2 linked regions of the Caenorhabditis elegans genome follow. The protein of the gene in region 2 interacts with the protein of the main gene of each other region in a pairwise test. Each region holds a gene or a part of one and is shown on either strand. Other genes may lie near its edges.

Evidence for each region.
Region 1: the proteins of abl-1 (region 2) and swsn-1 interact in a two-hybrid assay, tested with the Caenorhabditis elegans proteins (2 studies listed by BioGRID).

The regions. Positions count from the first base shown.
Region 1 is NC_003283.11:20,246,475-20,251,167, reverse strand, and holds the start of swsn-1 (SWI/SNF complex subunit SMARCC2), read left to right. Parts: upstream 1-1,685; 5' UTR 1,686-1,707; coding exon 1,708-1,822; intron 1,823-3,418; coding exon 3,419-4,044; exon of another isoform or gene 4,045-4,693.
Region 2 is NC_003284.9:10,621,156-10,626,167, reverse strand, and holds the start of abl-1 (Tyrosine-protein kinase abl-1), read left to right. Parts: upstream 1-1,978; 5' UTR 1,979-2,021; coding exon 2,022-2,023; intron 2,024-2,133; coding exon 2,134-2,189; intron 2,190-3,460; exon of another isoform or gene 3,461-3,585; intron 3,586-5,012. UniProt on the Caenorhabditis elegans protein: Functions downstream of migratory protein mig-13 and is involved in Q neuroblast migration during larval development.

The DNA.
Region 1 (4,693 bases), on a different chromosome or scaffold from region 2:
CAAAAAAGCCAACTTCGGAGACAGATGTGACTCGGAAAAATTCGTGATTTTAGCTAAAATAAGTGTAATTTTTTCAAAATTTTGAACCGCCATAAAACAATTTTTAAAAAATTTAAAATTTTTGAGCAGTTTTATTACAAAATTCGTTCATTTGAGCTCATTTTAGGCTTCTATACGTTCAAAATCGTCCGAACCGTTTTTCCAATTTTTTGAATTGATCTCGATTTATCGCTCTATTTATCACTAAATTGTGTACTTTTTTTTGTGTATTTTTTATATTTATTCATTATTCACCATTATCATCATTGTGACGCTTTTCATTGAACAACAAAACAAGACATTTTTCAAATTAATTATCGTTTTTTCCGTTGTATTTTCAACTTTTTTGATGTGGTTAAATACCCCCCTCAATGCTCTATTTTTGCTCTTTTTCAGCTCGAAAACTGGAATTTCTACTGAAATTTACGTAATTTTTGCCATTTTTTCGCTGAAATTTGCTAGAAATCGCTAAAAAATGCGAATTTTTCGGAAAAAAAGCCCGATTTCCTCAATTTTCATCAAAAAAAGTTCAAAATAACTACAAACTACAGCTTTTTGGGCGCTGCTAAAACTACAAACTACAAGTTTTGGGCGCTGCTAATTCAAATTATAGGCGCTGCTAAAACTACAAACTACAGCTTTTTGGGCGCTGCTAATTCAAATTATAGGCGCTGCGAAAACTACAAACTACAAGTTTTGGGCGCTGCTAATTCAATTTTAGGCGCTGCTAAAACTACAAACTACAAGTTTTGGGCGCTGCTAATTCAAATTTTAGGCGCTGCTAAAACTACAAACTACAAGTTTTGGGCGCTGCTAATTCGATTTTGGGCGCTGCTAAAACTACAAACTACAGCTTTTTGGGCGCTGCTATGCTTGAATTTGTCAATTTTTTCGATTTATTCGAATTTTTTCGCTTAAAATCAATTTTTAATCAAATTTTCTTCAACTTTCCTGAATTCTAACTACAAACTACAAGATTTTAGCTCGATTTTTCTCAAAAATGCTTCAAATTTCGGAAATTTTCCGGGATTTTTCCCTGGAAAAATCGAAAATTTTCAAATTTCCTACAATTCCCGCTCTATTTTAGCGCTGCAAAATCCCAATTACCCCAAGAAAATCGATAATTCCCCCACCGTCCTACAGGTCCCCCCGTATTCCATTTTCTGAGCAGATGTTCATCCCGCGTTCTCTCTCTCCCTCTCCACGAGGCCTCCTTTCTCTGCGCTCTCTCTCGTTTCTCCACACTATTTCTCTCGTTTTCTCTGTTTTCTCTGGCGTCTCTCACTACGCGCGAGCTCCCTCACACTGCCGCCTTGTTTGAATCTACGCGGGCCTCGATATTTCGATATTGGACCAATTTCGACCAATTTTCTCGCAGTTTTTTGTTAAAAGTCTCTTTTTAAGGTTATTTAGTCATAATTTCATTGAAAATTTCGAAAGAAATTCCAAGAAAATACGAGATTTTTGCAGTTTCCACAGTTTTCTGTTAAAATTCTTGATTTTACAGACATTTTTCCTAGAAATTTTGCCGTTTTTCTGCTCACTTCAGTGAAAAAAATCGATTTTTTCGCAATTTTCTGCCCATAAATATGCTTTTTCCTCGCTGAAAACCCTGAAAATCTTTTCAATTCCCCGCTAAATTTCAGCAAAATTTCGTCGAAAAGTGGAATGAAGAAGGGAGCGTCGAAGCGGAGACGCGACGACGATGACGGTGACGTTTCGATGACCGGCGACGACGATGATAGCAGAAGTGGTGCCGCTGTGAAGGTTGAAGTGCCGAAAGGTAGCGAAATCTGTGTGGAATTTTCGGCGAAAATGCGGAAAAATAGCTCTGAAAAACGCATTTTTTAGTGATTTTCTCCGACAAAATCGAAAAAAATCGAGCAAAATCCGTGAAAATCTGGCTCCGGGCAGCCCGAATACCCTCAAAAAGTGCAATTTCAGCGTCAGAGCTCAAGTTTTTGCAATAACTGACTGGAAAACTTTGATTTTCTGGGAAATTTGCATAATTTTTCCATTTTTTCCGGAATTGAGAGTTGAAAAACGCAAAAAATTGGTTTTTTACACTCGAAAATGCTTTTTTCAACACATTTTTTACGCAAAAGTGAACTTTTTTTTTTTCAAGTTTCATTCGAAAAAGACCGAAATTTGAATTTTGGGCGCTGCTAAGCTAAATTTTAGCGAAAATTGGTCAAAATTCGAACATTTCCAGAGCGCATTTTCAAAATTTCTACTCATTTTTTGGAAAAAAAATCGGAAATTTAAATTTTAGCCAAAAATGGAATTTTTCAGCGCTTTTTCTTCAGATTTTCTTCGAAATTTCTGAAAAAATCGCATTTTTATCTGATTTTTCCAGAAAAAAACCAATTTTTCGGTCAAAATTGCATTTCAGGACCAAAAAAAACCAGATTTTTCCAAATTTCCTTCCTAAAATTTTTTTGGGCGCTGCTAAAGCTACAAACTACAAGTTTTGGGCGCTGCTAAACTACAAACTACAAGATTTGGGCGCTGCTAATTCGATTTTGGGCGCTGCTAAACTACAAACTACAAGATTTGGGCGCTGCTAATACAATTTTGGGCGCTGCTAAACTACAAACTACAAGATTTGGGCGCTGCTAATTCAATTTTGGGCGCTGCTAAACTACAAACTACAAGTTTTGGGCGCTGCTAATTCGATTTTGGGCGCTGCTAAACTACAAACTACAAGATTTGGGCGCTGCTAATACAATTTTGGGCGCTGCTAAACTACAAACTACAAGATTTGGGCGCTGCTAATTCAATTTTGGGCGCTGCTAAACTACAAACTACAAGTTTTGGGCGCTGCTAATTCAATTTTGGGCGCTGCTAATTCAATTTTGGGCGCTGCTGACCGATTTTGGGCGCTGCTAGACTACAAACTACAAGATTTGGGCGCTGCTAATTCAATTTTGGGCGCTGCTAACACTACAAACTACAGGTTTTTTGCGCTGCTAATCCAATTTTGGGCGCTGCTAAACTACAAACTACAAGATTTGGGCGCTGCTAATTCAATTTTGGGCGCTGCTAACACTATAAACTACAGGTTTTTTGCGCTGCTAATCCAATTTTGGGCGCTGCTAAACTACAAACTACAAGATTTGGGCGCTGCTAATTCAATTTTGGGCGCTGCTAACACTACAAACTACAGGTTTTTTGCGCTGCTAATCCAATTTTGGGCGCTGCTAAACTACAAACTACAAGATTTGGGCGCTGCTAATTCAATTTTGGGCGCTGCTAGACTACAAACTACAAGATTTGGGCGCTGCTAATTCAATTTTGGGCGCTGCTAAACTACAAACTACAAGTTTTGGGCGCTGCTAATCCAATTTCCCCTCAATTTCCAACCAATTCTCTTTTGCAGGAAAGGAAAAAGACGCCGAATTCAGCGCACCAAAAGGCCAAAAGCTCACTGATCTCGACGAAGAAGGTGTCCAATCAACAAAAGAAGCTCCACAACTCGCCGAAGGAAACGTCATTGAGCAGACCCACTACATTGTAGTCCCCTCATACGCCGGCTGGTTCGACTATAACGCAATTCATCAAATCGAGAAACGCGCAATGCCTGAATTTTTCAACGGAAAGAATAAGAGCAAGACACCGGACGTCTACGTTGCCTACCGTAATTTTATGGTCGACACGTACCGTCTGAATCCATTTGAATACGTGTCTGCGACGGCTTGTCGCCGGAATTTGGCCGGTGATGTGTGCTCAATTGTGCGGCTTCACTCGTTTCTCGAGCAATGGGGCCTGCTGAATTATCAAGTTGATTCGGATGCTCGGCCGGCTCCTGTTGCTCCGCCACCAACAAGCCATTTTATGGTTTTAGCTGATACACCGACTGGCATTCAGCCAATGAATCCACCTGGAAAGGAGTCTGCTGGAGCATCTGGGGAGCCACCAAAAGAGGAGATTAAGACTGAGATTGAGTCCATTTCGACGCCCGGCCTGAAAATTGATCAGTATCAGAAGCAGGCCATCGCGATGAGAGTGCGTACCTGGCGTCTGCCTTGGTTTTTCAGTGCAAATTTGAGAAAAATTGGAATTTTCAGTGCAAATTTGAGAAAAATTGGAATTTTCAGTGCAAATTTGAGGAAAATTGGAATTTTAGTGCAAATTTGAGAAAAATTGAAATTTTCAGTGCAAATTTGAGAAAAATTGGAATTTTCAGTGCAAATTTGAGGAAATTTTGAATTTTTAGTGCAAATTTGAGGAAAATTGTAATTTTTAGTGCAAATTTGAGAAAAATTGGAATTTTTAGTGCAAATTTGAGAAAAATTGGAATTTTTAGTGCAAATTTGAGAAAAATTGGAATTTTTAGTGCAAATTTGAGGATAATTGGAATTTTCAGTGCAAATTTGAGCATTTTCCGGCTATTTTTGAGCGAAAATCGGCAATTTCACACAATTTTTCATCGGAAAAATCGATTTTCACTGAAAAGTTTTAATTTTTCGACCAATTATTATGGAAAACCCGAAAAAATCCCTCAATTTTTGAATTTTTCATCAGAAAAATCGATTTTCGCGAGAAATTTTCTGATTTTTCGGCCAATTGTCATGAAAAACCGAAAAAATCCCGCAGTTTTTGAATTTTTCAACAGAAAAATCGATTTTCACTGAAATTTTTCGAATTTTCAGTG
Region 2 (5,012 bases):
GACTTTGTTAGGAATCTCCTTTCCAGAAGTTGTTTCGAATGAACGCAATGGCAAAAATGGAAGGAAAAAAGGAATAATTCGTCCTTTGCATCGACATCTTGTTGTGTTCTTTTTTGTCCCTCTTCATTCTATTGGCGTGTTCGGGATATTATCCTCTCCTCGCCAACCAGCAGCTACTACCAACTTTTTTGTCGATGTTCGTCTTCTCTTGTGTTTTTGTGTGTTCCCATTTAGTTTCAGTTTTTGTTCTGCGCATTTCACAAAACTTTACTATTTTCAAAGTTCTTCGACACGCAAAAAACTCTACAAAAGTTTACTTTCAACTTTTTTTCGTATTTGGATTTATTTTAGCTATTTTTTTTAACGACTGGTTTAAATAAAAATAGGATGGGAGAAATTTTAGTAGACTTAATATGTAAATGTGAAAGAATTTTAGTAGACTTAATATGTAAATGTGTAATTTCCAACAATTAAACGAGGAGAAAAGACGAAAAATAAAAAAAATTATCGAAAATAGAACACTTTGTCACCATCAAAATCACTAACACTAGCAAAATAGCACAGTTTCATAGTCATATTACATATGCATGTTATAACAACAAACCTATTTTCATCTTTTGAAAACCCTACACACAATTCCACTTTTTTATGGAGAAATACAACCACATATAATCTTTTGATTTCAAAAAGTTATTTGTAATTGCCAAGCATTCATTACTTGGAGATCACGTTTTCCAAAACATCTTCGTCAGCAATTATTAAAACTTGGGAGTTTTTTTAAAGAATTATTGTATGCATTAGAGTGCGTTCTTATTGAGTGTTTCAAGTATGGAATTTGTTCTCAATTAACAAATTATTCTTAAACACACAATTTAAAATTAGTGCTTCATGTACAATTATATAGTCCGTGAAACAATGCAAATCTCCAAAAATTTTTAAACTTATTTAAAACTTGATAGGTACTTTTCAGCATATTTTAGTCTAAGGAGCCCTTTTATTGTTTTCAAAATAGTAGGACAGCAATTTTCTAATGAGTTAGAATTCACTCAACCAACCCTCAGAGGCATACCGTACTGTTTCTTCAAAATTTTGATTCTTTTAGTTTTGATTTCCATTTAAAAAATGCGTCAATCTGAATACTACCTATTGTTCAACTTTTCTATTTCAAACTGCATTCCCATACTCTTTCGTCGCTCCAATTTTTATGGGACAAAATTGGCGGGGGTTTTGAGTACCTCCTGGCCTCTCGTCCCATTCTTTGTGATCACACTTTTTGTTTCATTTCACACTTCATCCCCACACTTTCAACCGATACGAATTCGTATCGCAGATTTGTATAAAACATAGCGAAAAAGGAACGGCGACAAGTTTTGATTGGTTTTACAATGCAAAACTTTTTTGTTTATTAATATGTATGGTCTTGTCAATAATTGTTAGATTTTAGATTTGTAATTGACAATTTGTTAATTGGTTTAAAACTATGGTTTTTGCGAATACACAAATATCCGAATAGCATAACTTTTTTTTAATTATTAAATCACCACAATTTTGTAAAACAACTAAAAACTAATTATATCCAGTTTAAACATTATCCATTCATTTCGTATGCATATAAGTTCAATCAGTTCAAAGTATTTGTAGTCTCTACTCCGCGTTTCCAATCTCCTCTAGCTTAGTACTATTTATCTGACAGGAACTGTTGTTATTGTTTGACTAGCGAATAGGCGTTAGTGTTGAACCAAGTGCGCAGTAATAAGCAGTGAACAACGAGTGAGAAGTATGCAAGCGCGCTCTGCTGGTCACTGGATGGGTTATGAGAAAAGAGAGGGCAGCCGGGTACTCGACACATACCTTCACACCAATTGCGCGTCCTTTCTTTTTTCCTCCATGTTCTTTTTTTTTTGTCTTCTTCGATTTTTTCTTTTTATTTCTTTTTTTTAATTCAAGCCAAACTTCATAATTTTCAGGCTTTTCTAACTTTGAAAACATCAAAACATTCTCCCATGTAGGACTTAACAAAAATGTGAGTTCAGTTCATTTCATAATTCTTCTCAAAAACTATAAGGCCATGGTATTTTGTTTATTTTAATTTTACGAACAACATATACTAATAAAGAAGAAAATGTTTTTCAGGGGTCATTCACATAGTACTGGGAAAGAAATCAATGACAATGAACTCTTCACATGTGGTAAGCATTTTGCGCTTGAAAATTGTGAAAATTACTTTTCAACTAAAAACAAATATAATTTCAACATTTGAGTTTGGCATTGGATTTCAAAAAAAAAATTGAATGGTATAATTTCATACCATTTGGAAAAATTCAGCCTTGAAAAATATTAACTTGACGAAACTAATGAATATTTGTTGATTCAAAAGTTTTCCTAAAAAAATGATTATTGTTTGAAACTCATTAAAAAAGTACTGATAAAGTTTACGATTGTTTCTGAAGTATCAGCTTTTGTTTTTCTATTTTTCAAAAAAAGGAAGCTGCTCTCAGTTTTGAAAGAAAATAAGGCGAAATTGTAAAATAAATTATACGTAAAGTATTATAAAACTAATATTTTGTAATTTCTCAGTTTCTCAAAAAAAAAAAGTTCATGTTAAAACATGAAAAACAGTATGTTAAGTTTTATGTATTGTTTTTAACGTTCCTTCTACTTTTCGATGAATTGTCACAATCTCATTCGAAATTGTCTGCCCACAATAAGGCCCTTCGAGTGTAGATGACAGATTCAGAACCGCTCTTAATGCTTTATGCGGTTAGGTTCTCTAATCCTCCAAGTGTTCGGTTCCCTTCGTATTCCCGTTCGCTGTAGATATATGCCGGAGAGGGTGTGGGGAGGGTGAGAGATCCTCTTCTAAAGTCACAAGTAAACGAGACGCGGAAGAAAACGAGAGTAGAGATAGTAATAGCTGGTATGGTGGATTGAAAGAGAGCATGAGTGGAAGACGGGACGCAGACAAACCAAGAGGTCACATCTCCCTTCCCTCGTCCGTCAACTCCCGGTCCCTAGTTTGAGGACAACGCATGCGTGATCCAAATATGGGAGACTATCCAATCAAGTGTATCTTCTCTACTCATCTAGAATAATTAGATCATAATTTTTTACAAACTACAATATTTATAAAATTATACACTTTTAAAAGGTTTAGGCATAATTTATTTGGGAAAGGAAGTTTGGAAGAATAGAAAAAAATGGAATAAATCCAGTTCCTCTCCCCTTTCCCGCTTTGCCGCCTCCCGGCAAAACGTCGCTTCTCCAACTTGTTATTCCAATTCAATAGGTTTCAATGCCATATTCGCAGTTATAAATGCTCGACCCCTATTGACTATTCGCATTTTATTCACTTCACTCCAGTTTTAACTAGATTTACCATTTCCCCCCATCTTTTTTCTCCCTGGGTCAGAGAAGCAGCTGGACTTGTGTTAGTAGTACGACGAATCGCCCTTCTTCTCGTTGACCAATTAGAAAATGTGCTCTGGCACATTTTCCTTTCTGTGTGGGACTGAGAACCACGGGGGACACCCAACCTCCTGTTCTTCATTCTTTCTATCCAATTTTTATGATGGATTTGGTGCGACGCGTATACAATGAATATAAACGTTCGCAAGTCCACACCCATTTTTACAATTCCCTAGACATTGACACGGCATGTGACAATATTGAATAGTTTTGCTAATTTTGTGTTACTCTCGAAGAAACGGCATTGTCTCTGCTTTTTTTGTTATCTGAAAAAATAAAATCAGTTAGGTGTTTCAGTAGAATTTTCAAAAATAATTTACATCAGACAAACCGAGCTGAACAACCAAAATATATCCTAAATCAGATTTGACGAAGTTCAGATCATTGATCTTTTTCATAACGTGATTAAACACAAAACTATAAAAGTTTTATGAAATAGAAAAGAGAATACTAATTTTAAAATCTTCCGGTTCCGGATTTGTGTATGTGTTTGCTTATCAAATCACAGTTCTTACATGTATTTTTTAAGTGAAAAATCTATTAGGTCTCCAAATAAGTTCCGGGTCAAAAATCATAACTTTGTTCTCTGTGTATCGATTTTTATGAAACTTTGGGAATTCATGTTATCAACAATGATCTTTCATTTGACATCAGTCACAAAATTTTTTGTCCACCCCAAGTGTCCTAACTCGGAGCCAATTTTTTCAGGCATTTTTCCTATCTCGCTTCTAAAAGAAGACCTTTGAATTGAGGTTTGTGTGCGGATTTCGCCTTGCTTAAAATACATTATTAGAAAACGACAAAATTTTAGAAAAAAATCCGTCCAAAAAATTTTTTTTTGGTTGGTCGTCAAAAAATGTTCAAAAAAAATTTTGTCGAAAGTTCTAGATTTTCCCTACAAAAATGATGTAAACAAGCGTGAACTATTTTTACACATACAAAACATATCAATTTATTTCGATACACCAAAATGTTAATAGAAAATATAATTTTTTCGGATAATTTTTGAGTTTTTTGAATATTTCTCGAGATTCAAATTTCAAACTAAAACGATTATTATATATTTAAAAAAAATTTTTTGGACGGATTTTTTTCTAAACTTTTGTCGTTTTCTAATAATGTATTTTAAGCAAAGCAAAATCCGCACACAAACCTCAATTCAAAGGTTAAAAGAAGCGAGATAGGAAAAATTCCTGGAAAAATTGGCTCCGAGTTAGGACACTTGAGGTGTACAAAAATTTTTGCGACTATTGTCAAATGAAAGAACATGGTTGATAACATAAATTCCCAAAGTTTCATAAAAATCGATACACAGCGAACAAAGTTATGATTTTTGACCCGGAACTTATTTGGAGACCTAATATAAACCTCGTTTCGAAGTTTTGAAAATTGTATACCGTATTTCTTCTATTAATATGACTGCAATACTATTGTTCGATGGTCTTCCCGCTTGCAATACTAATAGGGAGTGCAAGACTATTAGGGAGTGCAATATTAATTTTCAGAAAATTTTTCTGACTTTGAGCTTTCTGATTTTTTTTCTGAAA